Linked DNA regions of Medicago truncatula. The protein of the gene in region 1 binds, or shares a complex with, the protein of each later gene. Links are inferred from orthologs where the notes say so. Each region holds a gene or a part of one and is shown on either strand. Other genes may lie near its edges.

The links.
Region 2: polycomb group protein EMBRYONIC FLOWER 2 (region 1) and WD-40 repeat-containing protein MSI1 share a complex: the UniProt entries of both Arabidopsis thaliana proteins name them as parts of the plant homeodomain / polycomb repressive complex. The link is inferred for Medicago truncatula from reciprocal best matches to the Arabidopsis thaliana genes VRN2 and MSI1.
Region 3: polycomb group protein EMBRYONIC FLOWER 2 (region 1) and VIN3-like protein 2 share a complex: the UniProt entries of both Arabidopsis thaliana proteins name them as parts of the plant homeodomain / polycomb repressive complex. The link is inferred for Medicago truncatula from reciprocal best matches to the Arabidopsis thaliana genes VRN2 and VEL1.
Region 4: polycomb group protein EMBRYONIC FLOWER 2 (region 1) and polycomb group protein FIE1 share a complex: the UniProt entries of both Arabidopsis thaliana proteins name them as parts of the plant homeodomain / polycomb repressive complex. The link is inferred for Medicago truncatula from reciprocal best matches to the Arabidopsis thaliana genes VRN2 and FIE.

The regions. Positions count from the first base shown.
Region 1 is NC_053046.1:4,146,254-4,153,575, reverse strand, and holds the start of polycomb group protein EMBRYONIC FLOWER 2, read left to right. Parts: upstream 1-4,302; 5' UTR 4,303-4,413; intron 4,414-4,548; 5' UTR 4,549-4,563; coding exon 4,564-4,689; intron 4,690-5,257; coding exon 5,258-5,313; intron 5,314-6,679; coding exon 6,680-6,744; intron 6,745-7,111; coding exon 7,112-7,164; intron 7,165-7,322. UniProt on the Arabidopsis thaliana protein: Polycomb group (PcG) protein. Plays a central role in vernalization by maintaining repressed the homeotic gene FLC, a floral repressor, after a cold treatment.
Region 2 is NC_053045.1:46,472,556-46,480,552, forward strand, and holds the start of WD-40 repeat-containing protein MSI1, read right to left. Parts: upstream 3,020-7,997; 5' UTR 2,926-3,019; coding exon 2,254-2,925; intron 2,169-2,253; coding exon 2,016-2,168; intron 391-2,015; coding exon 266-390; intron 176-265; coding exon 80-175; intron 1-79. UniProt on the Arabidopsis thaliana protein: Core histone-binding subunit that may target chromatin assembly factors, chromatin remodeling factors and histone deacetylases to their histone substrates in a manner that is regulated by nucleosomal DNA.
Region 3 is NC_053045.1:61,341,056-61,348,108, forward strand, and holds the start of VIN3-like protein 2, read right to left. Parts: upstream 3,024-7,053; 5' UTR 2,738-3,023; exon of another isoform or gene 2,732-2,737; intron 2,634-2,731; 5' UTR 2,574-2,633; coding exon 2,549-2,573; intron 2,543-2,548; exon of another isoform or gene 2,447-2,542; intron 2,374-2,446; exon of another isoform or gene 1,281-2,373; coding exon of another isoform or gene 1,253-1,280; intron 845-1,252; coding exon 163-844; intron 1-162. UniProt on the Arabidopsis thaliana protein: Maybe involved in both the vernalization and photoperiod pathways by regulating gene expression. Binds preferentially to dimethylated histone H3 'Lys-9' (H3K9me2).
Region 4 is NC_053042.1:9,567,016-9,574,088, reverse strand, and holds the start of polycomb group protein FIE1, read right to left. Parts: upstream 3,012-7,073; 5' UTR 2,839-3,011; intron 891-2,838; 5' UTR 850-890; intron 468-849; exon of another isoform or gene 373-467; intron 1-372. Other genes in the region: protein phosphatase 2C 51, read right to left, coding at 4,520-4,830, 5,948-6,053, 6,401-6,844, 6,933-7,073. UniProt on the Arabidopsis thaliana protein: Polycomb group (PcG) protein. PcG proteins act by forming multiprotein complexes, which are required to maintain the transcriptionally repressive state of homeotic genes throughout development.

The DNA.
Region 1 (7,322 bases):
TGTGTTTTGTGTGGATTGAATCCACGAGTTTTCCCACAAACTTAGCTTTTGTGGCCAACTGAACCACATTACTTATAATTAAGGAGAAAAACAAGGACATATTCAAATCATGATTTTAATTTTTTTTTTTCTTTCTATAAGTCGTGATTTTAGGAGTCTTGGTGCAAGGTAATTAAGTTGTTGCCACGTGAGTACTTGAAACAACATCTTGTGTAAAAAGTGAACTTTAGTACACTAGAGTGTCTTTTATGTGTAACTTTCTTCTAATTATTTTAACTTTTGTTGCCTTTGTGTTTTCTCGTATTATTGAGTGTGTCGTCCTTGAGTATGTTGTAATTTCTTGAATCAAGATACTTAAGCAAAACTTGATTGGGTTCTTCAAAATTGTGTTTGATCAAATATATAATGCTAAAACCATGTGGATTGTTTGAATCTCTACACATGAGACTAACATAATCACAGCACTCATTGTGATTCTAGCAAAAACTATACTTCTATACATCGTATCTTTAACAAACTCATGGTGCAATCGTGATGTTGTTAAATTCACCACTCATCCAAACACATATATGGATGACTTGATGTATGTCATGTATATATATCAGAATATGACTTCCAATAATGTATTCTCTACTTCTCATGAAATTAATGATTCTGGCTGAAACCAAATGTGCTCGAATCTCTGTTTCATTTTCCATTTTTTTTTTGTTGAAAAAATAATTCAAAAAAATAAGAGATGCAAACAAATAATCTAGAGAATTCCTTCATGTTTTATTGGATACTATACTACATGAATTCAGACATTAAGTAGAATAGCTCTTGGATAAGATTGTTAATAGAACAACATCTGCATTAAGTAATTTTTGACCTGTGCTTCAGTGACATGCATGTGTGATTCACAACTTTCTTAATAGCATTTTTGACAGTATGTGGGATAAGATTAAGGTAAAGGAGTTAAGAAAGGATATTTGGATGCAATTGGGTTTGGGTGATAAGTTGGAAAGCTGTTAGTAAAATCACGTTCATAGATAGTTCCTTATTCTAAATTTTAAAGATGTCTACCATTGCAACTTACAAGCAAGAGTGATGGTGAATATAACACTTGTGTACTTCAGATAAATAAATAAAAATATCAAAAAGAAATTCCAAACTCAGATCAAGACTACCAAAATAACCTGATGCAAATAACAATCTGGCACCTTATAAATTATATGTTTCTCTTTCGTTGATAAGAAAAGCAAAAGAGAGTACAAGATTTGTCGAAGACTAAGTAAGTCATCATTCAACAAAATAAGCAAAGCTAAACAATAATAATAATTAGACTAACTAAGGAAAAACGCATCATGTGTTTCCAACTCCAAGTTTGATACTTATGTTTGGCTGGCTATAACCAACCACAACTATAGTGGAGTACTTGGCAATGAGACGAGACTGTTAGTGTGAAGCCATACCTTAATATCACCCACAACAATGTTGTCAATCTTTGTTAGTCGTTTGATCTTGACATTGTAACTAAAATGCATGGTTTCCCTACTTGTTACAGATGTATTTCTTCTTTTCAATAGAGATACTCGAAGGATAATTTGATGGTTGATCCAGAAACAAAACACCACACACAGAATATGAATCTCATGGCCGCAAGCAGTCGGAAAATCAAAAGGTCCCATCTCATGATAAAGAGACCATTTTCCTAACTCAAAATCCAAAACATAGATTTGAAATGTTCTACAAAATGCATCATTATTCACAATGCAAGAAAGGTGATTTCCCATCCCTAAAAATATGGCTTAATTGCACTTTTGGCCCCCTATCTTTCCAAAAGTTGTGATTTTGGTCCCCTAACTAGTTAAAATACAAAACAACCTCATATGTATTGGATCTTTGTCAGTTTTGGCCCCCAAGGCCACTTTTGACTTAGTCTTCGCTGACGTGGCACCCACAATGGTCGACATGTGACACCTCACTTAAGGGATGTGTGTGCCACGTCAGCGAAGACTAAGTCAAAAGTGGCCTTGGGGGCCAAAACTGTCAAAGATCCAATACATAGGGGGCTGTTTTGTATTTTAATTAGTTAGGGGTCCAAAATCGCAACTTTTGAAAAGATAGGGGGCCAAAAATGCAATTAAACTTAAAAATATTGCATCTGAATTAAGACCCATCAACACAGGGGGAAGTGGAAGTAAATACTGTCCTACAATATTTTCCTTCTCAACATCCATCATTGTTATTCCCTCTATAGTTATCCAGTAAAGATAATTGTCTCCATTATACTCCATTCCTTTTCTTTTGATGTTTTAGTTCTTGACACAAGTTTTAAGGAGTAATTAAAGTATATAAATATTTGTGTATTTTTTACTTAAATGTCCTTATTTATCATTAAATTCACATGTGATAAACCAAAGGTCACAACTACTTTAATAGTTTATTGTGTTTTCCAACAAGGGTAAACTTAAGAAAACAATAACAAATTCACTAAAACATCAAAAGTTTTGGAATATAGTTAAAGTTCTAAAACATCAAAAGAAAAGGAATGGAGCGAGTAATTTATAAAGTAGTTTCCAACAAAAAAACCATTCACGAGGAGCTTCTTTTCAAGCTATCTCTTTCCATGAGCTATCTACTCCAATTCTAAGCACATAGAATACATACCAATAAGCACCCGAAACCACTAGGATATCTACAAAAAAACAGCTTGAATTCAATAGAGTGAGGAACACGTGCTATAGTTACTTGACACTTAAGTTCCGATCGTTTCAGTGAAATCGGTAAAGAAGGAATTTTGAGCCAACACTTGAGGATGGGGTTCACGATGAAAATCTAGGACCATGACAAAGTAGCAATATTCCATCACAAGTATCGACAATGTTTCCCATTTTTTGAGGTGTTCCCATGTTAGACCTTTCAAATTCAAATAGACTATTCACATCATCTTTAATATCCAAGAAATAATAATTATTTTGATGCTTGCAATTTTCAACATATAGACCAGGTTTTGAATGTGCACGATGTAGGCACGCTTCGGCAAACAGGGAGCTGCGAATAGTAGTAGCCCAAGATTTGCAAACATACCTTGCAGAGTTAAGCAGACATTTAACAGGGAGAAAACTAAGGATATCAAACACCAAGTCTTCAGGGATTAACAACTTTGAAATCACTTTACAACTCTTACCACTATAGGAATTTTGCTTCATATTCTTAATGGAATGATCCTCATGTGACTTAGAGTTTGACTCAGAGAAACTGTACTTCTTTATGGATTTATATCTTCCCATTATCAATTAATCAAATTAAACTTGTCCTGCTTCAATCACTGCATAACATATCGGCCCAAACAAACATCACATTAGTTAAATCATCAATAATATGAAAAGTATACTATGTATAGAATCTGAAACTACAATGCTCTAACGATAATCACTTATACTTTTTCAGAGGGATTGGAATTTTAAAGAATAATAATATACACTTGCATAGTTTGGATTTTCTATATGCTGCAAGAGTTTTAGAATCTTGCTCAACCAAAAGATGAATTCATATGAAACATGCCACATTTTTCGAAAGTGTAAGACAAAAACTAAAATAGAAACTTACATAATAAAATCATTAACTCTCTTGTACGATGAAAATAACTCAATGGGATCTATGCAAAACATTTGAGTGAATGTGTTGCTCAAGTATATGCAAGCACATGCATGATGCATATTTTAAACTGATATATTTTTAATTAATTATAGCAGAGTTTTATATATTGTAAATTAATCTTTTACTATATGTTACTACTATTTAGCAGTGTATAGTTAAACAATGAGAAGAGAAGAGATTAAACATAATGCATGGATATAACTTGGACAAAAACTGACATGAACATAAACCAACTATTAGGGACAACAAAAAAGAAAGTTTTTAGTTTTTGCAACTAAAATCAAAATTCTTTATATTTTTTAAAATCACAAACTTATTTAACCCTCCTTCAAAAAAGAAAATAACACTTACTTAACCCCTAAAATATTTCAAAATTTAAATTGAAACTTGTTATTTAACAGAGTATAAATTTGCAATTCGCATACAACAACTAGAAGAAGAAGAAGCCAGCATCGATAAAATAAAAAAACCGTTTAGTGAAAAAAATCGAGAGTTAAAGGAAAGGAAAACTTAACATACCTATAAATAGGTATGTTTTTTGCGGGTGGGCTTGGGCTCAAAGCCCATGAGCTTTTTTCCCCTTCTTATACAGGTGCGTTAGAAGTAAATTAGAGGGGTGCAAATAACAATCCTCATCTTTTCCTCTTATATTAAGATGGGCCCATTATTATCGGGCCCAATACAGTGTGTAATGAACTACGTTGACGGTGCCATGCTCTTCCCTTCTCCGCCAGATCGACCAAGAACTTCTTCGCATTTTCTCTCTTCTCTGTAAGTCTTCCTCTCTCATGAATTTCTTTGTTTTCAGCTGCAATATTCGTTTAACCTAATTGTGTTTCAGCTCATTACTTCAATTGCGTGTAACAATGTATGTTTAATTGAAGTTGATTTTGTGTTTGTTTGTAGGTTGAAGAATTCAACATGTGCCGGCAAAATTCACCGGTGCATAATTCCGGTGAAGAAGAAATTACAGCTGATGAAAGTCTTTTGATTTATTGCAAACCTGTTGAATTCTACAATATTCTCTATCGTCGTTCTCTTCACAATGTATAATATTACTATTACTTCCTAATCAGTATATGATTGTTTCAACTTTTAATTAAGCTCCATAATATTCATTTATTGTTTTTTTGCTATTTTTTCTGTGTTTTGGTTGTTTAAATATTGGTAATTTATAATTTTATGATTAAGGGATTAGAAATTGTGCTATGATTTGAACTTAATGCCGAGATGAGATGTTGACTGATTTTTTTGATATTTAAACTTTTTTTTTTTTTTTTTTTTTTTTTATATCGTTGGGGCGTGTCCCCATGCAGAAAACGTAAGATTAATATCTGCCTGCCCGGGGGGCCAAGTAAAGTCTGGCCAACACATTTTTGAACTCTGCGGGAATCGAACCTGGGAGTACTAGGTCGTTTCCCCGAGTCTAGGGCAGGTTACTCCACTGAGCCGAGCGGTGTTGGTTGATATTAAACATGTGAAGTGGTTTTTATGCGATTCTACATTTGAAAGTTGCTCTTAAAAATTGAAATTAGCATACATGTCAAAATTTTATGTTTTTTTTAATATAAAAGATATGTTGATTGATACCATTTGGAATTCATTTCTCTTGCAGCCTACTTTTCTTAAGAGATGTTTGCGCTATAAAATAAAAGCAAAGCAAAAAAGGAGGTAAATATTCCTTTGAATTGTTATATACATGTATTATAGTTATTTCATCTAGTTTTTAGTTTCATCATTCAATTTGTTGAAGTACACTACTCTTTATACCATTTCCTTACTCTTAAATTGTTGATTCAACATGATTTTTAAGAGTTATACTAATAGAAATTAATTATTTGGGGATACATGAATAGTAATCATCTATCTACTTTTTTTGGTAATAGGAGAATCGATACAGAAAAAAAGGAATTTGATTTGTGAGGATTGAGAATCCGACAGTAAGAGAAATAAATGCTACAAACGAAAACTATTTAAATACCGACAAAACTTAATTACAGTTCCTTATGTTCTCGCCAATAAACTAAGTATACGTGTCATGTATTATCTTTTAAAAAAAAAAAAAAACCCCCGCAAGTTGTATTTGCAGAATCATCACTGCTTCGTTTCCTTGTACCATTGTATGAAAATTTTAATTTAGACTTGGCTGACTTGCAATGAATACCAACCCTTGATGGAAAAGAAAAAGTAAATGTGATGCTGCAGAACTAGGAAGTGTGTGAAAACTCTCTCTGTTCCCCACCATTTCTTTGACTATAGACCAGCAAACGTACGATAGAGGACGACTTGCTGAAGTGAAGACTTCGATCTGAGTGGCAGTCTGGGAAGTTGATTTGGGGGGGGGGGGGGGGAGGGGGAGGGGGAGGGTGGTGGTAATTTGGGACTCTGCGAGAAAATGACACCGTTTCTGTTTTTCGATTCCGGCACGAAATGTGAAATTTCGATTCACCATTCACGGGAGGTGTAGGTTCCCCTTGTTAGAGGGAAATCACAGTACACGTGTCCGTAATTTATTGGCGAACAACAGTAATAGGACCTTAGGCGCCGTACTTAAGATTTGTTCATTAAATAGTTCACAATTTATTAGTTGAAAAGAGAAACTAGCCTCTTTGCATATCGAATAAAGATTTACCCATTTTCAGATATCTATCTTATGTAATATGCAATGCTTCATTAGGGGTTGTAACTGGTAAGGTGAAGTTTTGAGTCTAGATGCCGAAAAGAAGTAAATGTCTCATTGAAGAAAGATGTTAACAGTAGGACAAGAAGTAAACAGTAAATTATTTGGCTATTTTATTTTAATTACGAAACTCTAGACTAAAAGTTGCATTTTGTCCCTAGTCTCAAATACTGTCCAAGTAATTCTTTAGCATACCATGATGTCTATTCTTCATCAGCTGATGATTTTTGCATTCTTGCCTGAATAACAATTAAGAAAGAAATTGTTTTGCTATGCTTTATCCTTGCGTTTCTTGTTGATTGTATTTATTGTTTGCCTTATTGGGTGGCAATTGTTTGATGGCTTTCTGTTTTGAAGGTTGCGAGCAGGAATTGTGGTTTTCAACTATAGGGACTGTTACAATGCGCTTCGAAAGACTGAAGGTACAGCATATTATCATATTGTCACCAGCTATGTTCAACATTACATCTTACCACTACCTTCCTATAATAAGTACAATTTTTAAGAGCAATCAAACTAGTAAACAATTTGGTAATGTTTTTATTTTCGATTCCGACTTCCTTCCATAGATGCTTATGGCTGATAGTTTTCAAGTGCAGAACTTCATCTGCCTTTAATTTGGACAGATATGATTTTGTAAACGTTACTCTTTTGAGCTGGCATTTTTTAATGCTTTTTTTTTGGGTGGTCTGTCATGTTATTCTCTTTTTTTGTGATGGTTTCTTATTAAAAAAAAAAAAAAAACAATTTTGACCGTACTGATACATTTCTGTTTCTTTCCAAATGTAGTGACTGAAGACTTTTCTTGTCCATTTTGCTTGATGCAGTGTGCGAGCTTTAAGGTATATGCTGTGATTTGAACTTCAGTAATTGCTTTTTTCATTCATAATTTGATAATTTGGGAGGTTGTTGTCTTGTCTCTTTTTTCTTTGTTAGAAGCTAAGAGAAAACTTCAAAAACTGTTTTTCATGGAAATCTATTGAATTTCAGTATTTTATAT
Region 2 (7,997 bases), on another chromosome or scaffold:
ACTCAGTAAACATTTCAGGGAAACAAATAAAAAATTCACTAAAAAGTCCAGATATGGTGATGCTTTCATTAAGCAATACCTGCTAAGATCCCACACCATCAGTCTCCTACCAAGACAACAAGAAGCCAAGACAGTCTCATTCTTTGGATTCCAGCCAACCTGGAAAACCTCCTCCCTGTTAACCCGAAAACAACAATCCAGATTAATATCTATTAAATATAATTACATCTAGAGTAAATATAGAAACAACTAAGGAGAATGTTACTTATGGCAATCAAAGGTGTGAAGAACATTGCCGATCTTGCGCAGATCCCACAGTTTCACTGTTTTGTCAGTAGAACCAGTAGCAACTATCCATTCATTGAAGGGATTGAAAGCCAAGCAGTTAACCTAACAAGATCCAATGTCATTATTATATAAAGAAAAGTGTTATTAGAAGTGATATATATTGAGAGTAATATCAGCATTGTGAAAACTCTAGAACACTGCTAAAAGATAAAGTCGAATTAGAGCACAACGGAGAAGACATTATAAGAAGCCAACAGATTGAAAATCTGAGTAAAGACAGGAAATTATATCAGCAAGGAAAATATGAGAAGCCAGATATGTGAAATATGGCCACTGTACAACTGCAGAGTGGAGTCTCGGCCAGTTCTCAAATATTGACCGTGATTAAAAATTTATGCATTATCCGTGTTTAGTTTTCAATTATCACCCACCCCGAATGAAGTCTTTCAACACAACGTTGAACCTTTAGGTCTAATATCACTATGTTTTGATGGGTTGGGTCAAACATTCTCAAAAACTCATAAATTTCAAAAGATATAATGAAGATTGAACAGTAATAAATTGATAATTTTAGAATAATCACAAAATATAAGTCCATGTTTCAAATTCCCTCTTACAACAGCACATCATAATTCATATCTAAACAACAATAACCAATATTTTTCTATCCAACTTATTAATCTCAAGATTTTTCTTCAATAGTTTTTTATGCCTTTTATAGGCCTTCTTCTACCTCTAGTAATTCTCCTCCATCTGATCTATTGTCCTTACGATGGAATCCACATGTCTTCTTTCTACATGCCCAAACCACCTAAGCCTAGTTTCCACTATCTTTTGTACTATAGGTGCTTCCCCAGCTCTCTCTCAAATGTTGTCATTTCCAATCCTATCTTGTCTAGTGTACCACACATCCAACACAACATCCCTATCTCCGCCACGCTTAATTTATTTTCATATTGGTTCTTAGAGTCGTCCAATGAAATTTTCCCATCAACTTGAGCAGTACTTTCGCATCACATAAAATACTTGAGGCCCTATTCCATTTCAACCACCCAGCTTGAATGGTTTGTGTTTAACTTCCCTGTATCTGTCCACTTAACATGATATCCCCATGCCATGTTCATTTTGACGGATTCACCAATCCCTCACACTAATTTCCACAAAATAGTTGCTACTTCAAGCCACAAACAATTATCTAGATTAAATCTATTTTTACACAAATCAGAGAATATGCAACAAAAACTCACATCAAACAAATGCATATTCCCACAAAACCAAACCCTGAACTAATTATACTTCCTTGAAAACCCAAATGTAAAAGAGCTTATTATCCAAAACAAACTCCTAGGCCTTCCTACATTTGCATCACATAAAGCATTGGAGGCCCTGCTCCATTTCAACCACCCAGTTCGAATGGTGCATGTTATACTTCGCCGTATCTTTCCACCTAGCACGTTATCCCCAGGCCATGCTCATTTTGACAGATTCACCAATCCCTCGCACTAATTTCCACAAAATAGGTTGCTACTTTCAAGCCAAAAACAATTGTCCTAGATTAAATATATTTTAACACAAATCAAAGAATATGCAACAAAAATTCACAACAAACAAACGCATATTCTCACAAAACTAAACCCTAAACTAATTATACTTCCTTGAAAAAACCAAATGTAAAAGAGCTTATAATCAAAACAAACTCATATATTTAAATAGATTAAGCAACACACCTCGCTAGAATGAGCAATGCAAGACTGAACAGGCTTAGTAACAGACGGTGTCCTTAGATCCCATACAAGCAAATACTGATCATCCCCAACAGAACCAAACAAATACTCATGCCTCAAATGCCAAGCCACGTCTTCCACAACACCTTCATGAACCTAAACAAACAATAACACAAAATCATCAACAACAAACCAAGCAACAAAAAACAACAAAATTAAGTAGAAAACCCAATAAGAATACCTTAAAAATCTGATGAGCATCAAGAGACTTATTCTTAGGAGTACCATTAATATCCCACAAACAAATCTGAGCATCATCAGAACCACTAAGCAAATGTCCTTGTTTAAACTTACTCCAAGACAAACCATACCCTTCAGTATTATGACCTCTTAACCTCAAATCAGGGTTACAACTTCCATCAATTGGAGGCTTAGAAGGATGTTTACTATAATCAAAAACATAAACCTCAGCACTAACCGTCTTAGTAGCAATCACAAAACTATTCTGAGGCATATACCTCGCTCTATTAACCTCACCATCATGATTAATCTGTTGAATTATCTGAACCTTCCCATTGGCACAACCAAACCCTCCAACTTCAGGACGATCGTCATCGTAATGACGGGCGTCGTTTTCGGAGTCGTCGAGAGGGAGTTGAACTTGAGCGAGCATGAGATAATTGGGTTCATTTTCGGAAGTGTGGGTCCCGAGGATGAGTTTTTGGACGGAGTAGTCTTTGCCGGAGGGTTCAGTGCGATCTGGAAGCCATTCGACGGTGAGAGATGGCCATTCGAGAGCGTGAGTGATGACGAGATCGTAGAGGAAGGGACTGTTTTTCTTCCAGATTTTGTATTCTTCGTTGATTATTCGTTCTTCTATTTCGCCTCTCATTTCTTCGTCTTCTTTCCCCATCCACTTTCAAAACCCTAACTCTCAAATGTGATGTTGTTTTTTCGAGGGAGAAATATAAACACTCACTAACCCCTTCTCTATCCCACTACTTCCCTCACTTCTTCACTTACCCCTTTGCCGTATTTTTATTAATTAAATTGGATTATCATTTAATAAAAATAATAGAAAATTAAATTGAATTTGTATATATTTTTTTTGATGAAGAGGAAATTAAAAGACAAGAAAACCAAACTAGTCAATCCGCTGCCTAAATACCCCAGAGGTATCCGCAAGCATGATGATATCCAATTGAGATGGAGGAGAAGTCCACATCTTCAAGGAGTCAGTATTAGTTGCACCAAATTTAATCAACCAGTCAGCACATTCGTTCCCTTCTCTCAAAGTATGACTAAATGAGACCACCCATGAAAGAGAAGAATTGAATTTGTATATATTGATGCTTAGAAAAAAAAAATGGATACACAAATTTACAAATTTTTTGTGAATAAAAATTTAGGTGAGTTGATCTCTGGGGACTTACGAGAGTTAGGATAGGTCTTAAGGATTAATGAACATTATCATTCATCAGATATTTGGTTCTCACTCTAAAATTAAAAGTTCAACTCACGACCTTATGGAAAAATCAACTTCTTACGAGTCAACTTTTATTGACAAATTTTTTGTTACATGAAAAGAAAAAATTGTTTCAAATGTTTCTTAGTAAGTGGTAAAAGGTATTGAGTGACAATGATGTGACGTGACGTTCATTTAAAGATGTTAGGATAAATCTACATGAGCACGTACCCAAATAAAATTTATCTGAGCACACATTCACAATTGAAAATAATTAAATGAAAAAATAATTAATAAATGTGACCATATTATTGTTTCTTAATATTTTTATTTATGAATGTGTGCTTGAATAATTTTATTTGGGTTTGTGTCTAAGTAACACTTCCACGAAGATGTTATCCATACATTTAATTTAATGTCATTGTTATACCTTCTAATTTTATTTTCTGATAAACCAATCTAAACTTGTGTACCTCATTTGGTCACTATTATAAGTAGAAATTCATCTTTTAGATTGATTCAATATGCAATGTATGTGATCTATATAATAACATAAATCATTTATTAGATAAATTTAAAATGTGGATTTTTGCTAATAAAAATGAGGGTAAATACCTCTTTTCGTCCATGTAATATTAGTGAATTCCGATTTTAATCCCTGTAAAAAAAAGATTTAGATTTTGTCCCTGTAATTTCATATTCTTCCACTTTTGGTCCCTCATTCCACCACGTCAGCAGAATCTGCATACATGGCATGTAAAATGAGGGACCAAAAGTGGAGGAATATGAAATTACAGAGACCAAAAGTGGGAGGAATCTGAAATTACAGGGACGCAATTGATGCAGATTTTGTTGACGTGATGAAAGGAGGGACCAAAAGTGGAAGAATATGAAATTACAGGGACAAAATCTAAATCTTTTTATTTACAGGGACTAAAACCAGAATTCGCTAATATTACAGGGACGAAAAAAGGTATTTATCCTAATAATGACTAGAGCGTGTATGTGTATGCCTTACGACTTACACATTAAGAAACATGGTTTCCTATTTGTAAAATTCATCGACTAAGATCGTCCACAACGGTAGGTGCTTCGCTTATTTAACACAACATTAAATAGCCCCCATTGTAGTGTACACCCTGCAGACACTATTATTTAATTTTAAAAATTTGTACTTTAAGAACATTGACATGTTATGAGGAACATTGACATGCTACAAGGTTGGTTTTAATCACTCTTACTACATAGTCATGAATTGGTGATATGTTGGAACTTCACATTACCTTTTATATTTTCCTAACTATTCATTTACATGTATTTTTTAAAATACCAAATACACGCATTTCTCTACAAGGTTGGCCAACTAATGTTTTTATGATAATGTGAAGAGGAATCTTTTAAAGGATACCATATGTTGGTATTGTACTGTTTGATCTTAAAAGTTGGTACTTTCATAAAATTGGCATGCTATAAGGTTAGTTTTAATCACTCGTACTGCATAGTCATGTATTTGTGATATGTTGACATTTCACATTACCTTTTATATTTTTCAAACAATTCCTATATTTTTATTTTATAGAATACCATACACACAACTTTCTCCTTTAAAAGATTTTCTATGAAAGATTTAAAATGTGCCGTCCTTTCAAAGCGAACAAGAGATATGTGAATATTTTTATAAATATTAGTTGAATTTCAGCTTGTGTGAATATCTTTGTTATTACATGTTATGTTATGTATGGTTTTGGATATGTTGATCACATGTGAGGAAACAATGTTTGGTAGTTACTATTGTTTCGAAAAATGTAACTAAGAATTAATATTGTTTGATTGAATTCAAGGACCAATCACAAATATAGTCACTAATTGAAGAATGACATATATATTTACCTTTATTTTTGGTGCAATAAGACAATCAAATTAGTATACAAACATGAATTGTTTGATCACCTTTCATATTTTATTTATCTATGATTTTACTCTATTTGAGATGTTTTTATTCGTCGTTTGCAGGTTGAACTCAAATATCTCTTTCATTTTTTATTTATATATGCTTATATCTAATAACTTCTCATCAAAAGGTATGAACTCAAATATCTCTTTCATTTTGTTTTTTGAATGGCAAATATCTTCTTTATTGTTGTTGATTTTTTATTCAATTAATTTAGTAATTATTTGAGTAAATAGACAATTACCTCTCTGAAATTGTAAGTTTCGTCAATTATCCTCTGACATTAACAAAACTTCAATTACCCCCCTGAAATTGCACAACGTTAATCAATTTACCCCTTCCGTCAAATTCTTCTGTTAGTCAACTTGACGTTTTGCAAATACCCCCTGAAGTTTTGCACTTATGTGCAAAATGCCCTCGAACTTGAAAATTTATATTTTTTTTCTTATCCTTGACTCAAAAAAGATATTAAGGTGTGTAATGCCCCTGTTCTTTTTAATGTAAAATTTGACTTTTCTTTATACTTTTAGTTACTTAACTGATCGGTTAATAAGACACTTATGTTTGTTGTATTAAGATTATCAAGTTTTATTTACCTTTAAAAAAAACTTTTTTCCCAAACTTTTTCTTCAGGGGTCTTTTCCCATACTTGTGTAACAAACAAAAAAACTTTAAACTTAATATCTCAACAGGTTTTTACTTACCTTTTTTTAAAAGTTTTGTCTATCTTTTAAGATAAATGCTTGTGTACTTATTTAAGTATTTTATTTGTTTATGTTGTTCTGTAGGTTATGGAAAGACAGTAAGCGAATGTAAGTCACTAGAACAAACACTTCTTTCGGAAAGTTCAATGTGGTGAGAATAACAATCTCCCTCTACCCTTAAAGAAAAATAAAGCAAAAATATGCTTCCTCTACCCTTAAAGAAAAATAAAGCAAAAATATGCTTATATTAGGGTAACACACTCTATTTAAAATGTTGAGGAGCTATATCGCAGGATCAATCATTCAAGAAATTTCAAATTCGATTATCGAGCGAAATAACGCTTAGTCACATTATACATACCTCATGGTCGAACCCCCAAGGAAACACACTATTGAATCTGAACAATTATTATGGTACTGAAACTGAAAATGTTGAAAACAGTAACCAATTAATCGGACTCGAGTGGTTAATGAGCTATACAGTAGGATCAATTGTTCAAGAAAATTCAAATTCGTTTCTCGAGTGAAATCATTCTTAGTTAGATTATACATATTTTATGGCCGAACTCACCACATTTCCATTGAAACTAGAACACATTGACGTTCATAATAATACCATAATATTGTAACTCAGAAACAGAGTGTGACTATGGAGGTATGTGAGTAATGACAAATATTTTTAATAGAGGAATACCTAGAACTTGGGAAGTTGACTCTAATGTAGTTGGTCTTGCAAAAAAAGACATATGCTCAATCACAGTAACATCTGCAAAGACATAAACACGATGTCTTCCTTTAGCTACAACAATGTTGTGAGGGAAATTTGTTAAGATATTGGAATTCTTATAATATGATGTTCTAGTAGTTTTTGAAAATTGCTCATATATTTTTATACTCTTATCAATAATCAAAACATGTTTGAATAACGCTCTCTTGACATCGTGCCAATATGAAAGATATTTTGATGATATGTATATTTATTGACGAAAATATCCATATCACGAGGGACGATGCAAATTATTGGAACTCACTCAGGTACTATCTTGAGACTACTGAAATATTGACCAAGTTATCAAATTTAATAAGTCAAACACAAAAAAGTAATTCCTTAATGTTTTATATGAGTGGTCATGGCGTTGAAGTTGGCGAAAGATTCTTCGGACCTACTGATATTTTACTTGGTAAGTTCTATTCATATTGGTTATTAAAGAATATTAGTCTTAAAGGAATCCGAATATTATATCGCACTTGCTAACCATGACTAAGCTGATTTGACCCGCAAACTTTCATCTCCTCCTCCATCATCAATTTCCTTTTCTCCTCCATTATTCTATCATGTAGCGCTCCCTTACCGAATTGTCCTCCTCCACCGTAAAAAAGTGCCCACATAAACATTAAGAAAGAAAGAATAATTTTGTTGGAGCATAAAGATGATAAGGAAATTAAATCAACCATAATAAATAGAGAATAATCACTAGTTTCCCTTAACCTAAATCGTATATGCACCCACTTTTTATATATTTAAAGGTTAAATATGATTTTAGTCACTATAAATATACAGCTTAATCCATTAAATTATAAAATATATTCATTGTTGCCCTCTTTTTATCAAGTTTAATTAAAAGATGCTTATGTGGATGTTTGTTGTTAAGTTTATAGGTCATATTGTTATGTTGTATATTTATGTTATCAGTTAGAGTATATTATAATTAATTTTTATTTAAAAGTCGGTATTTTTAGTAATGAAATCTAATGTTTTCAATCCTTATAAGTCATCTTAACTTGTTCTCATTGTTATTTTCAATACTTATATTTCTTGTTAGTCATTCAATAAATCCGTTGCTAAAATTTTAGACGACTACTTC
Region 3 (7,053 bases), on another chromosome or scaffold:
TTTGTATCTTGCAAGCAACATATAAATAGATATAATCATCTTGAATCCTAATAATATCAATAATTTGCATTTACACAAAGTTTCCATTGTAGAAAACACTATAAGACCAAGACAAGACAGAAATATAGGGAAAAAGAATAAAAAGAAGAATATAAAATTTACCCGAGTAAATCATTTACTTTCCCACAAGAGACACAGTAGAAGCCTCCATCATGTTTGGGGCGTTTGCCATCTTTGCCAATTCCAGAACCATCATGTTTTAAAGCACACTCAAGGTGGCATGACAAGCCGCAAGAAACACCAGGAAATGGAGCTTCAGAGCTGCATATTAACCACAGGCTAGGGTCTTTGTTGTCGTCATATTGATGACAAATACAACATGAACACCTTTTGCAAAATGCATCTCCTTGATTTAGCGTAGCCTTGCATGCTGAGTTTTTGCAGTATGAGGTATTATGATTCACATCGCCACTGTTATTGACAAAAACATTGTTTTCAGGAACAGCTAACCGAGATGGATTCTCAATTTTTCTCTGCCTTTTAGCAGGTTTCTGACCATTTTCAGGAAAAGAATGTGGTTCAGGGTCGGTGGCAATATCATGGCCACTTGATTTCTTTTCGGAAACAATTTTCAGAAGATTTTCGATAATTTTCACCTTTGTCAGCCCAGTATACTTCCTTTCTTTTCCCATCTCAGCACACAATATTTGTAAAATCTCTTGACGGCTCCATGACTGTAGTATCTCAGATGCACCATCATGAGACGATTTAGATATTTCATATACAAGCTCTCTTTTTTCCTCCATACTCAATTTACTAAATTTAGAAGGATCAAGAGCAACTGCTAAGATCAAGGAAAAAGAAAACAAATATTAGCATATTATTATATAGATGAGAGCATTCCAATTTTAAAACTTCCAAGTGCTGAAGGAAACAAGACTATTTCAACAAAGACTTCTGCTACAATTTGTACTCATGCTAGACATGTCATCATCAAGAAATTATACGCAGAAATAATGGATTTTATAGAAGAAACTATAATGCATTTTTTAATGAACTAACATATTGATTGCATATAATATAACCAAGAAAACAAGAACAAGAAACATAACATATAAAACTGTAACTGGTTGAACTTGCATCACAAGGACATCCCAACCACTTGATGCAGAATGGAATCTAGGAATATTGGATAGCTCAGTGTAAACGCAATGGACTAATCAAGTCAGCCAATTAGGTAATTGGACTTAACTTCCTTTGACTTTTATAAGCACCTTCATGGACCTGCTTATTTAGTTGTTGGCACATCGCATATCAAATGATAAGCCTACTTCAATCAAGACTCCTTTTTTAATCAAAATGCATTAATAAAATATTGAACTGCCCGGCCCCTAAATGCAGTTCACACCAAAAGCTCGGGAATAAAAGGCTATATATAGCATAGATTTTAAGCCAAAAAAGGCAGAATCAGCAAAAGATAAATAAAATAAATTACAATTAAATCAAATAAAATAGTGAAACACCTCTCTCATTAAAGTTCATTCTTTTTTCTGAAGGAAAAAAAATCAAAGCTAATCAGAACCCAACATTCAGGAAGGACACGCATGGAAAACAAGGTTTTACACCGTTGTCGTGTTGTGATCCTTGTATTGCAGAAAATTGCGGTTAGATACAACTGATGCACCCAGAATTAATGCAATTGTGGACGCATAGACATAAAAAACCTTGACGTGTCATGCCTCGAAAAACCATGAGAAAGATGACATGGCAAATAAATCAATCCACAATTAAATCACGCGAGATATTAAAGCATAACACAGATAACGAATCCAACCCTTGTCGTGTAGCAGCCACATTTAACGCAATTTTGGACACGTAGATATAAAAAAAACCTTGACATGTCAAGCCTCAGAAAAACTCGAGAAGATGCCACAACAAATAAATTAAACAACAAAGAAAATCGGTTTCTTGTCATAAAAAATAAATTGGTAAAAAAGCATAATGTTAAATCACACGAAATAGTAAAGCATAACACGGATAACAAATCCAATCCTTGTCGTGTTGAGATCATTTTTATTGCGGAAAAGAGCAGTTAAATACATCAACCTCAAGTAACGCAATTGCGGACATGTAACGGAAAATTGCAGTTAAATACAAGTCATGCAAAATTACCGCAATATCATCGGAAGCGTTGACATGCAAAATCTTGATGATGAAGAGACCACAAAAAGTAAATCAATCCACATAGAAATCAGATATGTCACAAATCACAATGCTAAATCATGATATCATATGGACCACGAAACTACAGAAAAATGAGGTACATGACCGATGGCAATGCTAAAACATGATATGATAGAGATTAATCATCGTTAAATCACATGAGATTATAAAGCACAACAGAGATTATAACGAATCTAATCAATCATTGAGATAATTGAATCACCTCAGTTTGAATATAACGAAGAAAGTGAGATATAAGAATACATGAAAAATTGAAGAAAATTAGAGAGATAAAATAAGCAAGTGATGGAAGCGTGTGTGTTACCTTGGGAAGACGAATCGGTAGCCATAACTAAGAACGAGAATGAATGAATCACATCACATTATCAACAAAATTCATCGAACCTAAACAAAAGTTAAATAAATAAATCCAATCCACGTCATGAATCGCCGTATAAGGAAAGAAAATTAAGAGTGATTGATAGAGAAAGATTGAAATGACAATTACCTAAAAAAAAGATGCTTTCAATTGTTGAAGAAGAAGAAGAAGAAGAAAACGGAATCACTCAGTAACTGAAAAAAATGGTGACGCGCGCACACTCTCTCTCTCTCTCTCTCCTCTGTATGTGATAGAGGGAGATTCGAGGAGAAAGTTGTTGATGTACTTACTTTGCTTCTAGTCTAGAAAGAGAAAGCGTTTTAGATAGGTGGAAGGAGAGAGAGAGAGAGCGCTTTAATATCTCTCACAAATTTTTCGGCTCAATTTTTGTGACGCTTTCAACATCTACAATGTATCTAAAACTAAACGATGATATGAACATTTCTTCATTGAATAAATCATGATGCGGCAAAATAGATAGCAAATAAAAGGTTGAAATAGCTTAAATAAGATGTAAAAAAAATTATTTTGAAGGAAATGTGTTTGAGTTGCATAGATATTAATATTATATGACAATTTAGGAACCACTTGAGGAGGAAGGCTAATAATACTCTCTTTTGAGGCTCACTATTTTATTGAGTAAAATCAATATGTCCAATTACTTTATGTCGGTTCCATTTCCAATGTATATGCCCCACGTTAGTTTAAACCAATAAAATATAGCTATCATTTCACTTAAGATTGGTTATGGAATCAAATTTAGATTTTTCGCAAACTTGTGATAAGTGATTCTTTAGATAAATTGACAAATACAACTAAATTTACGACACAAGTGCAATGTGTTATGTTTAAACATGAGTAAACGTGTTTCAATTTAACAATATTGGTGTGCGTTTGATTTGTTAAAAAATGAAGGACAAGACATAATAACTTCAGCTGTTTAGTGTTTGATTTGCAAAACTGTTTCAGAGACAGGATAAACTGGAGGCAAGGAACATGACAAAAACTGAAATTTTTGTCCCTCACCAAACCACAGCACAACTTTTTTGTCCCACGTACAAGTTGTCTAAAACATCAAAATAGTATTTCGTCCCTCAAAAATCATACAAAACAAAAAATTATTCAATACCATAAAAATTTGTTCTGTGTTGTTATGCCTTATGTTGTGATGTTCTGTTTTGTACTGATATGTTCTATCCAGTACTTACTCTTTTGCAAACCAAACACACACCTTACAACTTAGGAGGACAAATTAATCTTTCACTTAATTTTGACTCTTTACTATAGATGAATTAACTTTTCTCTGTCTAAAAATATCAAAAATCAATTTTAGAAAAAAAAATAAACTTCTAGTCACTTGTCTTAATTTTAAACAACGATCTTGTCTTTTATATTTATTTATTGCATTTTTTTTATTTTAGTCTTTTGTATATGAATTTTCAACAAAGAGAACCACTGATTTAAACACCGAAAGCTCGTATCAAAATCAAATATTAAATCTTAAAATTCATATACAAAATTAATTCCCTCAAAAAATTCATATACAAAATTAGTTAAAAGGACAAAGATAATGTGAAAAAATGTGAAGAAGGAAATCTTTACGTAAACGTTTAGATCTAAAATAATGGCGTTATTGCCGATTTATTGTTGCGATGCTCACTGACTTTCAATTCAACATTTTTTATAGTCGAATATTTCGGTAAGAAATTAGGATAGTATAATATATTAAATTACTAAAATAGCCCTTTATTCTTTTCATTATCTACTGGCACATACACCATATCATATCAGGTCCATTCAATAACCTGTATCATAAATCCATACATCACAAAAATCTGAGTTAGTGTGGCTGTGTGTGTGTGGTAATGTCTTTTGCATGATAAGATTTCATTCAGGTGAATGAAGTCTTTTTCTCGTAATTAATATATATATATATATTATTTTTTAAAATAAGCTAAAATGGAATTTGTTAATATAGCAATTAATCTTAACCGGCACAAGGAATGTTAGGCTAGGAGTCTTACAGTAACAATAAACAAAGGATGATGGAAACCCCCAATGGAAAATCCATACACCCGTGAAAATAAATAAAAATCCAAAAACCTATAGGAAACACCTCCTAACAAAGGGCTATCTCCGAAATCAATAAATAGAAACACCAAAACAAAGCTAACATCACGATCAACAAAACAACATAAACAAAATCCTCAAGCATCGTCACAACTGCCACAAAAACAACTTCTACCACACCCACATTCCGCTGCTCGCACACAACCCCTGAACATCAACTTAAAAACCTACACCACAACCAACAACCTTTGAAAACAGCCGGGAAAAAAAACCCCAAACACCACCATGAGCTCTCCTAAGCACCTTCATCCAAAACACACCTCGTAAACAACCGCAAAAGCTAACCAAAAATCCTTGTACCATCACCAAAAACCACCACAAACATAACCACAAAAATCAACACCATTACCACCACCTTCACCAAAACTACCATTGACCACCACAAAAATCACCATTAACCCTCACCTAAAAGCAACACCAGCCACCACGCGCAGCACACCTAAAACCACCACAAGCATCACCACCAAAAACCACCACGAGCCCCCGCCACAAAAGACCCAAAATCAACACCACCAAGAAAACCATCATGAAGTACCACAAACCAATACAACCAAAGATCCATCGAAACCATATAAGTTCATAAGCGAATCTAGATATGATTCATCACCACCATCGTGACCGATCTGTCACCACCTATGTTGCGAGCAAACATAACCTCCACCACAACCAAGAGAGAAAACAAATCAAATAGTTTGAGACCCACGAAAACCAAACAACCACAGACAAGCATCCAACGACACACCACAAAACCCACCAACGTCTCAGCCAAACGAAACAAATAAAAAACATCAAAAATACAAACCAACCTTTACGACGATAGAGAGCAACCGCACGTCGGAAAGGTACGGTGGTGCGGAGGACAGTGACCCTCGTCGCACCACCATCCATTTGATCTACATGATGACGGGGGCGGATTTAAAATTTGTGTGAGGAAGAAAGGAGTACGGCGGTTTTACGTTTAGAAAAAATGGAATACAACGGCTATCTCTTATGTGTGTTTTGTAAAAAAGTACGACGGCTATTACTATAACTCCATTCATTTCTTTTCTTTTTTTATAAATCTCTTATCTTCTAAAATTTTGTTCGTATTCACACTTTTATCAAAATTTTGCAATAGAATATATATTTTTTTAACAAATTTTGCAATGTATATTATTACAAAAAAAAAAAAAAAACTTAATTTCATTTGTCCATTTATGATCGATTGGTGGCTAACGATTGGATAATAGAGTCTGTTAAAACTTTGTTGATATGGCCCTATGGCAGGGACACACGCATGTAAGATTGGAATCGACTGTGGGGACAACATGGTCAATTTAGATAGCTGCCCCACTAACTAATATTGCATGTAAGACATTGAGTTTTTTTTTATATCTTATAGTTTTGACAAAAACAATAAATTATGGTCTTTGCATATACGAATCGATGCTTTCCCATCTCATGCCACTCACTGCGTCAAAAAAATCTCATGCCACTCATTTCCTACACATTTGTTGGCTTAGCTTGTATTGCACACACGACATAGTATAATAATAAGATTTGTTGACTTAGCTTCTTAAAAAAAAAAAAAAATTATTAATAATTTACGCTTGCTTTCTTCAACTCTTAAAAAAGGTTAAGATATATATATAATCCAATAAAAAAATGTAAATATTTGATTATCTAACATATTTTATGCTATGCAGTTTTCTCCAACAACGATGATATTAATCTCTCTGTGTTTATTGTTAGGTCATGAGAGGAGGTTGGAACTTGAGAGACCATCCATATTAGACCCAGAACAATCATACAAATGAGTTGGACACCAAATATTTAACTAAAATCTTAGGGCAATAAGTTTATGAGTCACCACGTTAATAAATAAAGTGTTCAACTTTCATTTTTATAAGCAATATGCAGAACTTCCAACTCACGTTCTTTACACAACAATCTTCCCTCAAGTGTGAGTCCATCAATTCATTAAATGTTGTGTAGCGAGTGTAAGCCAGAAGTTACACATTGCTTAGAAAAGTGGAGGTTAAACATTTTATAAGTAGAAAGATCGGTAAATCCAATGTCTCAGGGTTTTGGAGTTAAAGTATAATGTACACCTTATTTGTTACTCTTAACTAAATGCGAATATTCTCATACTCATATCGTGTCTCAATATTATGCCTCAAACAAAAGCTTTTTAACCCACACATACTTGCATTTATACTTGTACCACTTGTTATTGCACCAACGTGACACGTCAACTGAACACCTTCCTAGGAAGACTTTCTACACCAAGAGGCGATCAAACCTTTGTTGAACCTGATACTATTGCTGGATCACGAGGAGAA
Region 4 (7,073 bases), on another chromosome or scaffold:
TACCATCTTTTCTACTATAGGTGCTACCCCAACTCTCTCTCTAATGGTGTCATTTCTAATCATATCCTGTCTAGTCTTATCACTCATCCAACACAACATCCTCATCTCTGCTACGCTTAATTTTAGATAAACTTCATTGGGAAATAAAAATGTCCGCTAACATGTTCATTGACATGACATAAAATAATGTACTCGTATTTTTTTGCCTATTTTCCACTTATTATCGGTGGATATCATTTTGCATAACAAATTATCGGTGGATATCATTTTGCATAACAAATATATGCAGAAACTGCACAAACAACATGGACAAGAAGCAGCTATTCAGCGTTTTTATATTTGCTTTGGATTAAGGAGCATTAAGTACTGGACCTGAGAAGAATACACGCGGTAAAATAAGTAATCTGCAGATATGAAAATCTCAAGAATCTAAAATCTCAGAAACTGTAGTAGTTGACAGCCAAATAAAAAGCTACCAGCTGAATTGCTAGCCATGAGAACATGATAATAACAAGTAAACTACTTGACTTGACAATACAAAAGAAAACAAATGAGATATTATAATCCCATTAAATTTCTGCATGAAGTTATTAGTTAAACAATCTCCCAGTCAAAAATGTCAATCAAGAAATATATTGCATTGCATCTTTCAAATTCCTCAAGTTACTCCGTCAAGTACATAAAAAAGTAGAAATACAGCAAAGCATATGAAAATTAGGGGTAGCACGGAAAGAAACAGATCGAAAATAATGATACAATAGATCCAATTAAGGAAGCATGTGCAAAAATCAGATATACACATTCAAACAATAAAAAACGAAAAATACCGTGAAAAGGGAAAAACCTTACCACTCCGTGAAAAACAGATTCAACAAGAGAATGACAATCACCTAAAACGGGAGAAGAAATCAAGGAATTAGATCTAGATTGGAGAATATATATGAAACGAGACCAATGCCAATGGAGAAGAGTACACAAAAGCTCCCAATGAGTTTAGCAACGGCGGGAGAGAAAGATATATGTATATTTTAATGTCGGTTCAACGGGGGACGGCCCATCATTGATTGGGCCAATCCCTAACCCATTTAATCTTTGAAATTTCAGATAGAGTCAAAAAAGCCATATCACTCAAAGGACTAGATTGGGGGAGTCATGCTAGTGGCAAAACGTGATAGGTCATGAGCTAGCCAGTATGGACAGTTGTATCTAACATTTATTTTTGGTCCGTAAACGAAGTGGCAAATACCACATAAAACTCACACACACAACTGCAAGGCCTTACGGACATTGTATCTAACATTTTACTCGCAGTAATTATTTGGCCAAGTCACTGATTTACGGAGCGAACACGCCAATCTCATCTAGTCTAGATAATGTAAAACAAATATCAAAAAGTAGAAAATATGCAAGGAGAAAAAAATATAATAAAAAAAACCACTAATACCTAATCCAAAATGACAGTTGGCATTGACCAAGTTCAATAACAATTTAACAACAAATTCAAATCCAATTCCAAATGATACATGGAAAATAAGACAATGTAAGGAGCAAATTAATAGTAAACAAAGTCCTTTTGAATCCATTGCACAATGATCTTCCTACTCATTCAAAACATATCAAGGTTTCCCAAATAGGTTTTAGAAATCTTTTTCACTATCGGGATTCAAAGGGAAAAAATCACTTCCAGCTTCCATTCCTATTATATTCTCAGAACTGATTGGATATTAGACCTCTTCCACATAAGGCATTGATGAACTCATGATTATCATAAGATTCTCTTAATATTCCTTCTTACATAAGTGCTTTTAGAAAGGTTTATTGAAAGAAACTGACTCTAAGTGGTTGTTTGAAATCAAAGTAGCCTCTTCTAAACATGCAGTGAAACTATAGCCATTAATTGTAGCATCTTGCCAAAACACGCGGTGAAACTGAAATGACTGCCGAAGCAAACACTTAATAAGGGCTTATTTGAATTTGCTTATTTGAGCTTATCTACTAGCATAGGCATTTGTGAGACTGTTTGGGAGAGCTTATGACATGCTCGTAAGCTATTTTAAGCTTATTTCCATAAAATCTCCAATATAGCTGAATAAAAAAGCTTATATCTTATACAAAAAACAATTTGACTTTATTTATTTTGTGTAACAGAAATAAGCCTTGTTTGATAAACAACTTAATTGTCATCTTATAGCATAAGTGCTTATCATAATAAACACTCATGTATAAGCTATTTCTATAACAAAAGTTAAAATAATGTTAAACTATTTTGCGCAAACTATGTTGGAGTTTATAAACATAAGGTTTTTTCATAAGTTCACTCAAACAGTCTCACAAACATTATGCTAGTATATAAGCTAAAATAAGCCAATCAAAACAGGCAGATAGTTTATTCATAAGCACTTATATGATAAATGCTTATGCTATAAGAAGCTGCAAATTCAAATTAAGTGTTTTAACCAAACACAACCCATGTCTTTTAGCATCTAACTTACAAGAAAAAAAAAGTTTTTCCACCAAATTGGCATTTGATCAAACACTTAGCGTGCAACCAAAGCTGAGAAAATGAAAATACTCTCTCATAAATTCAGTGACAAGAAAAACGAAATCTCAAATGAAATGTGCAAATGATGAACAATTTCGAAATAGTAACCATAATTTAAGAGAAGAAAATGAAAATATAAATATTCATTTCAGAATATATGAATAAGGAAACAATGAGATTGTTACAAAAATGGAAACTTTACAATACAATACAATACAATATCGTAAGTGAGAAGAAAAAAAACAACTCTGAAAGTGAAACATGAAAATGAAAGCCTGGAAAAGTGAGAAGCTTACGGTGGCCGGCGAGAAAGAGTGGGTGAGCTGGTGAGGGATGACAGTTGAGGACTGAGTGAGACCAAATTAGTTATTAGGGTTTCATATGGTCTCAAATTTTCTTATGTAAGTGATAAATTGTTCTTCTATGGTAATTCAATATGATTTTCCCTTCTTCAATTTAAGTGGTACTTTCATGTCATATAAAAACATGTGAGTTTTGGATTTGAATTCAATTATCTCGATTTAAATTCAATAATTTACGTTTTAAGTGAAACTTTCATGTCAATTATCTTCAACTTTCACTTCTTTAATAGAAGTGTTTCTTATTTTGCTAAAATCACTTGCGTTTTACTAAATTATTTATGTTTAATTTTTTTTTTTGTTTTAGTGCTATAAAGTCAAATTTAGAGCTTTAAAATTAAAGTTAAATTGTTTGGTAATTTTTTTTCTCCCTCCTTGGTGCATAAGGATTGGTATAACCCTTCAAAAGCTTAGGTTTTTGCTTCGCTTATCGTTTTTTTTTTTTGTCTTTTTTCTTAACTCTTATAATTTTTCCAAGTTTTGATATTTTTACACCTAGATCAATCTTTATGACATTCTCTTTTTATTTTAACTTTACTTTGAATATTTTTCTCCACCATCAAGGTTTTTTAACCTTGGATCCAAAAGCTATTGATTCTCCCGGCGTATTTTTTGCTACTATTATAATCTCATGTGACATATTGTCTCAGATATCATTTGTGTTTTCTTGTGGTTGCCCGAAACTTCCCTCTAAGACCATCTCCAATGGGAGGGTCTTAACCTTTTATGATCTAGTGAGTGCCTATTAGATACTCCATTGGGGAGGAACTTTTCGAGGTCTTATAAAACCCGGGTCACACTTAAGACCCTCTTTCTTAAGTGGGACCCACACCTTTTTAATATTAAAAAATTTATATGTAATAATATAAAGTTATTGATAGTTGATTAGTAGGTCTCGTTTAAGAAATTTATGCGAGATGTTAGGTTGAAGGGATTGAGTTCTTATGTGAATGGATGGAGGAGATGTTTATGTACATATATTTAAAGGTGAATCCAATGATTTGAAACCCTTATAAAATTTCTATTTTGATTTTGAATTAACCTTAGCTAATAGCTAATGAAGTTCTAATTTCATTTTTGTAGCAACAAGAGAGGTAAAACATTTGCAAGGTGTGATGTATAGTAATTAAAAGAAAAATGCTCACAACAAGTTTATTCCAGTCATGAAATATGAAGATCTAAACTGTTAACTTTGCAAAAGATTGATCCTTAGACCACTTTTTCAAAATTAGATACCACTATATACTATCATTCAATTTTAATTCTCACACAATTCTCATATCAATAATCTTGAAAAAATGTCACGATATACTTTAAAAAAAAAAAAAAAACACTCTTTCAAACATACACGATAATATTCAATAACCACCAACTCATATGTTTGTCATTGTTTCTAATATAATGAAATTTACTTCGAGCGAGATCAAACTCACTTAAATTTCAATTAATCGATAACATTGAACATATCTTAAAAGAGCGTGTTTTTTTTTTGACGGATAAAAAAGCGTGTTAGAGATTGTATTTCTCACACTAATTAATTATCATTACTATGTACTTGATAATATCTTGGCACAGAGGGTGCACCCCCTTGATTTAAAACTAATAAAGTCATCAATTGTCAACTAGATTTTAATGTTCCTCTTAGGTCAACAACTATGACACTTGTATTGTCTCTGCTACCCTTTGCCAATGCTATCTCAGATAATAGTGTTGCAGCTTCAGCAGCACGATTACTTTGATTCTCATTCCCATGACAAACTCTCCTAATTTGGCCTTTGAAACATTTTCTTACAACTTGGCATGCAATTTCACTAGACATTACACCCCACAAGCCATCACTTGCTAGTATGAGAAATTCATCTTCATTGGTTCGTTTTGTCACGGTGACTTCAGGTTTTGATATTACATATGGTCGAAGATATTGATCTCCTGCATGCATCAAATTTCGTAGTTAGAACATATCAAATTGGTTCTTAACAATAATCATTAGTTTACTAATTCTATTTGACAAAATATATATGTAATCGATTTTATCAGTTATTTATAAATGATTTAATCGAGCTTAGCTAAAAACTCGTGCTTCATGACTTGTTAAAAATTAATAAATGTTTAGGTTGACTACAATAAAACTAAGCTTAAAACTAAAGCTTGACATGCATATTTCTTAACAACCATTATATTTAAACACTTTTAATTTTTCAACACTTATTCAACACCTCATTTTTTCTCCGTCTCACTTCTTATCACATCACATACTTATCACATTTAATCACAACGCATACTCTATTTCTATCTCTCTCATGGGTGTTAAAGGATATAGGTCTACAAACACAATTTTCCAAAAGTAAGTAAAAATATCAAGCTCAATTTATTGATGGATTTTGAACTTCTTTTTTTTGCCTCATAACCTAAAAGTTAGAACATTCTGTAATAAGTTTACAATATATAGCTCAACTACTGCTCAACTAATTTACACCCAAACTTTGATTAATTGATTATGTGGGATTTACAGTTTTCCATGTAATTTGATAGTAGAAGGATTCCTTAACCTCTTTGAAATCAACGTGTTTATACAACAAATATTCTTGTATTATTGAAAATTTCCACGTGTTTGACCATACACACAAGTATTAAGAACAGGTCAAGATTCATATGTAATAATTTATTTCCGTCCAATAATCTTCAAAGATTTAAATAATGAGACACTTTCCCAATAGTATTAAGATTGAAAATCATATACGCAAAACATGTGGCAAACTTGTTTTGTATAAAAAAGAATCACATTCTATTATAGATTCTTCTTTATCAGAGAATTTAAGCAATGTGTCATCTTGATTGGTTAAAAATTTAAAAGCAATCACGCATATGATCAAACTTTACTTTTTTTTTTGTCAAAGTTACTCTGCTATTTTAAAAATGGCTGATCAAAGAAAATACATGCATATAACAAAGTAGAAAATATAAATAATCTAAAAAAAAATGGATTAACCAACATTATCATAAGCTAGAAATCTAAGTATTTGTGAAGTTAAAATTTCATACAAACCTATAGATCGTGAAGTTGCAAGAACACCAAGAACACGGTGGCCATTCCAGTTTATGACTCTTCCACCAGCTTCTTCTATTCTCATCAACTCATCAGGCCTGTTTGGCTGTGTACAAACAAGGAAATCAATATTACCTTCATTCATTATCATACAATAGTTTTCTTTGGAATGAAAAAATTTATCTACTTTAAATCATCTAAATCTAAATATAGTACAAGATCTCAAATCTCAATAATAATCAAAATCCAAATAATTGACTCTAGAATCTAGATGCAACAATGTATAGATATTGCAATTTGCTGCAATCTCGGTGTGACTATATATGTTTTTCATACACATCAGTCAGAAATCAAGCACATGATGAGAGCATCCAATTATCTATCTAGTTGTATACTGCCTAGAAATTAGTACTATCAAATATATTAAGAAAATCAAATATAGTACTACAGTACCTTATGATCAGAAGACAACTCCACGACTTCACCACCTCGTCCCAAAACGGCTCTAGAATCACCACAATTCGCAACAACAATCTCCTCTTTAACAACAACCGCCACAACAGCCGTGGATCCCACGGTCCTAACCGTGGCATCACCCGCCACCTCCCTATCCATTTTACCAAAACACCCTTCCATCACCCTCTCCCAATCCCATTCCCTATCCTCCCAAAACATCTCAACCTCCTCCGCCACAATCCTATACAACCTCTCTCTACACGACACCGCCACCTGAGCACCACCGTGACCATCATAAACACCGAAGAAATCACACTTCTCTCCATCCTTCATCGTAAAACCTATCTCCATACTCACCGCATCCTCCATTTCCTTCCTACAGCCTATGGTTGACACCGAACCATACGATAGAGGTCGCTGTTGTTGTTGATAATGCTTCACCTGCAAATAATAAACAATGAAATAATATGAGACGCACTGTCCTCAAGGATTTTCCGTGTATAATAAGCTAACAACAACAACAGTGTACCTCTCCGTTTTGCTTGGACAGCTGATCATCTTCCTCAGATGATGATGAAGTTGCTAACGACAACGATATCTCAACAGATTCATGAATCTCTCGTCGCGCATTCTCCGTTTTCAGATCACCGTCATCGGAGCCATTTCCGAC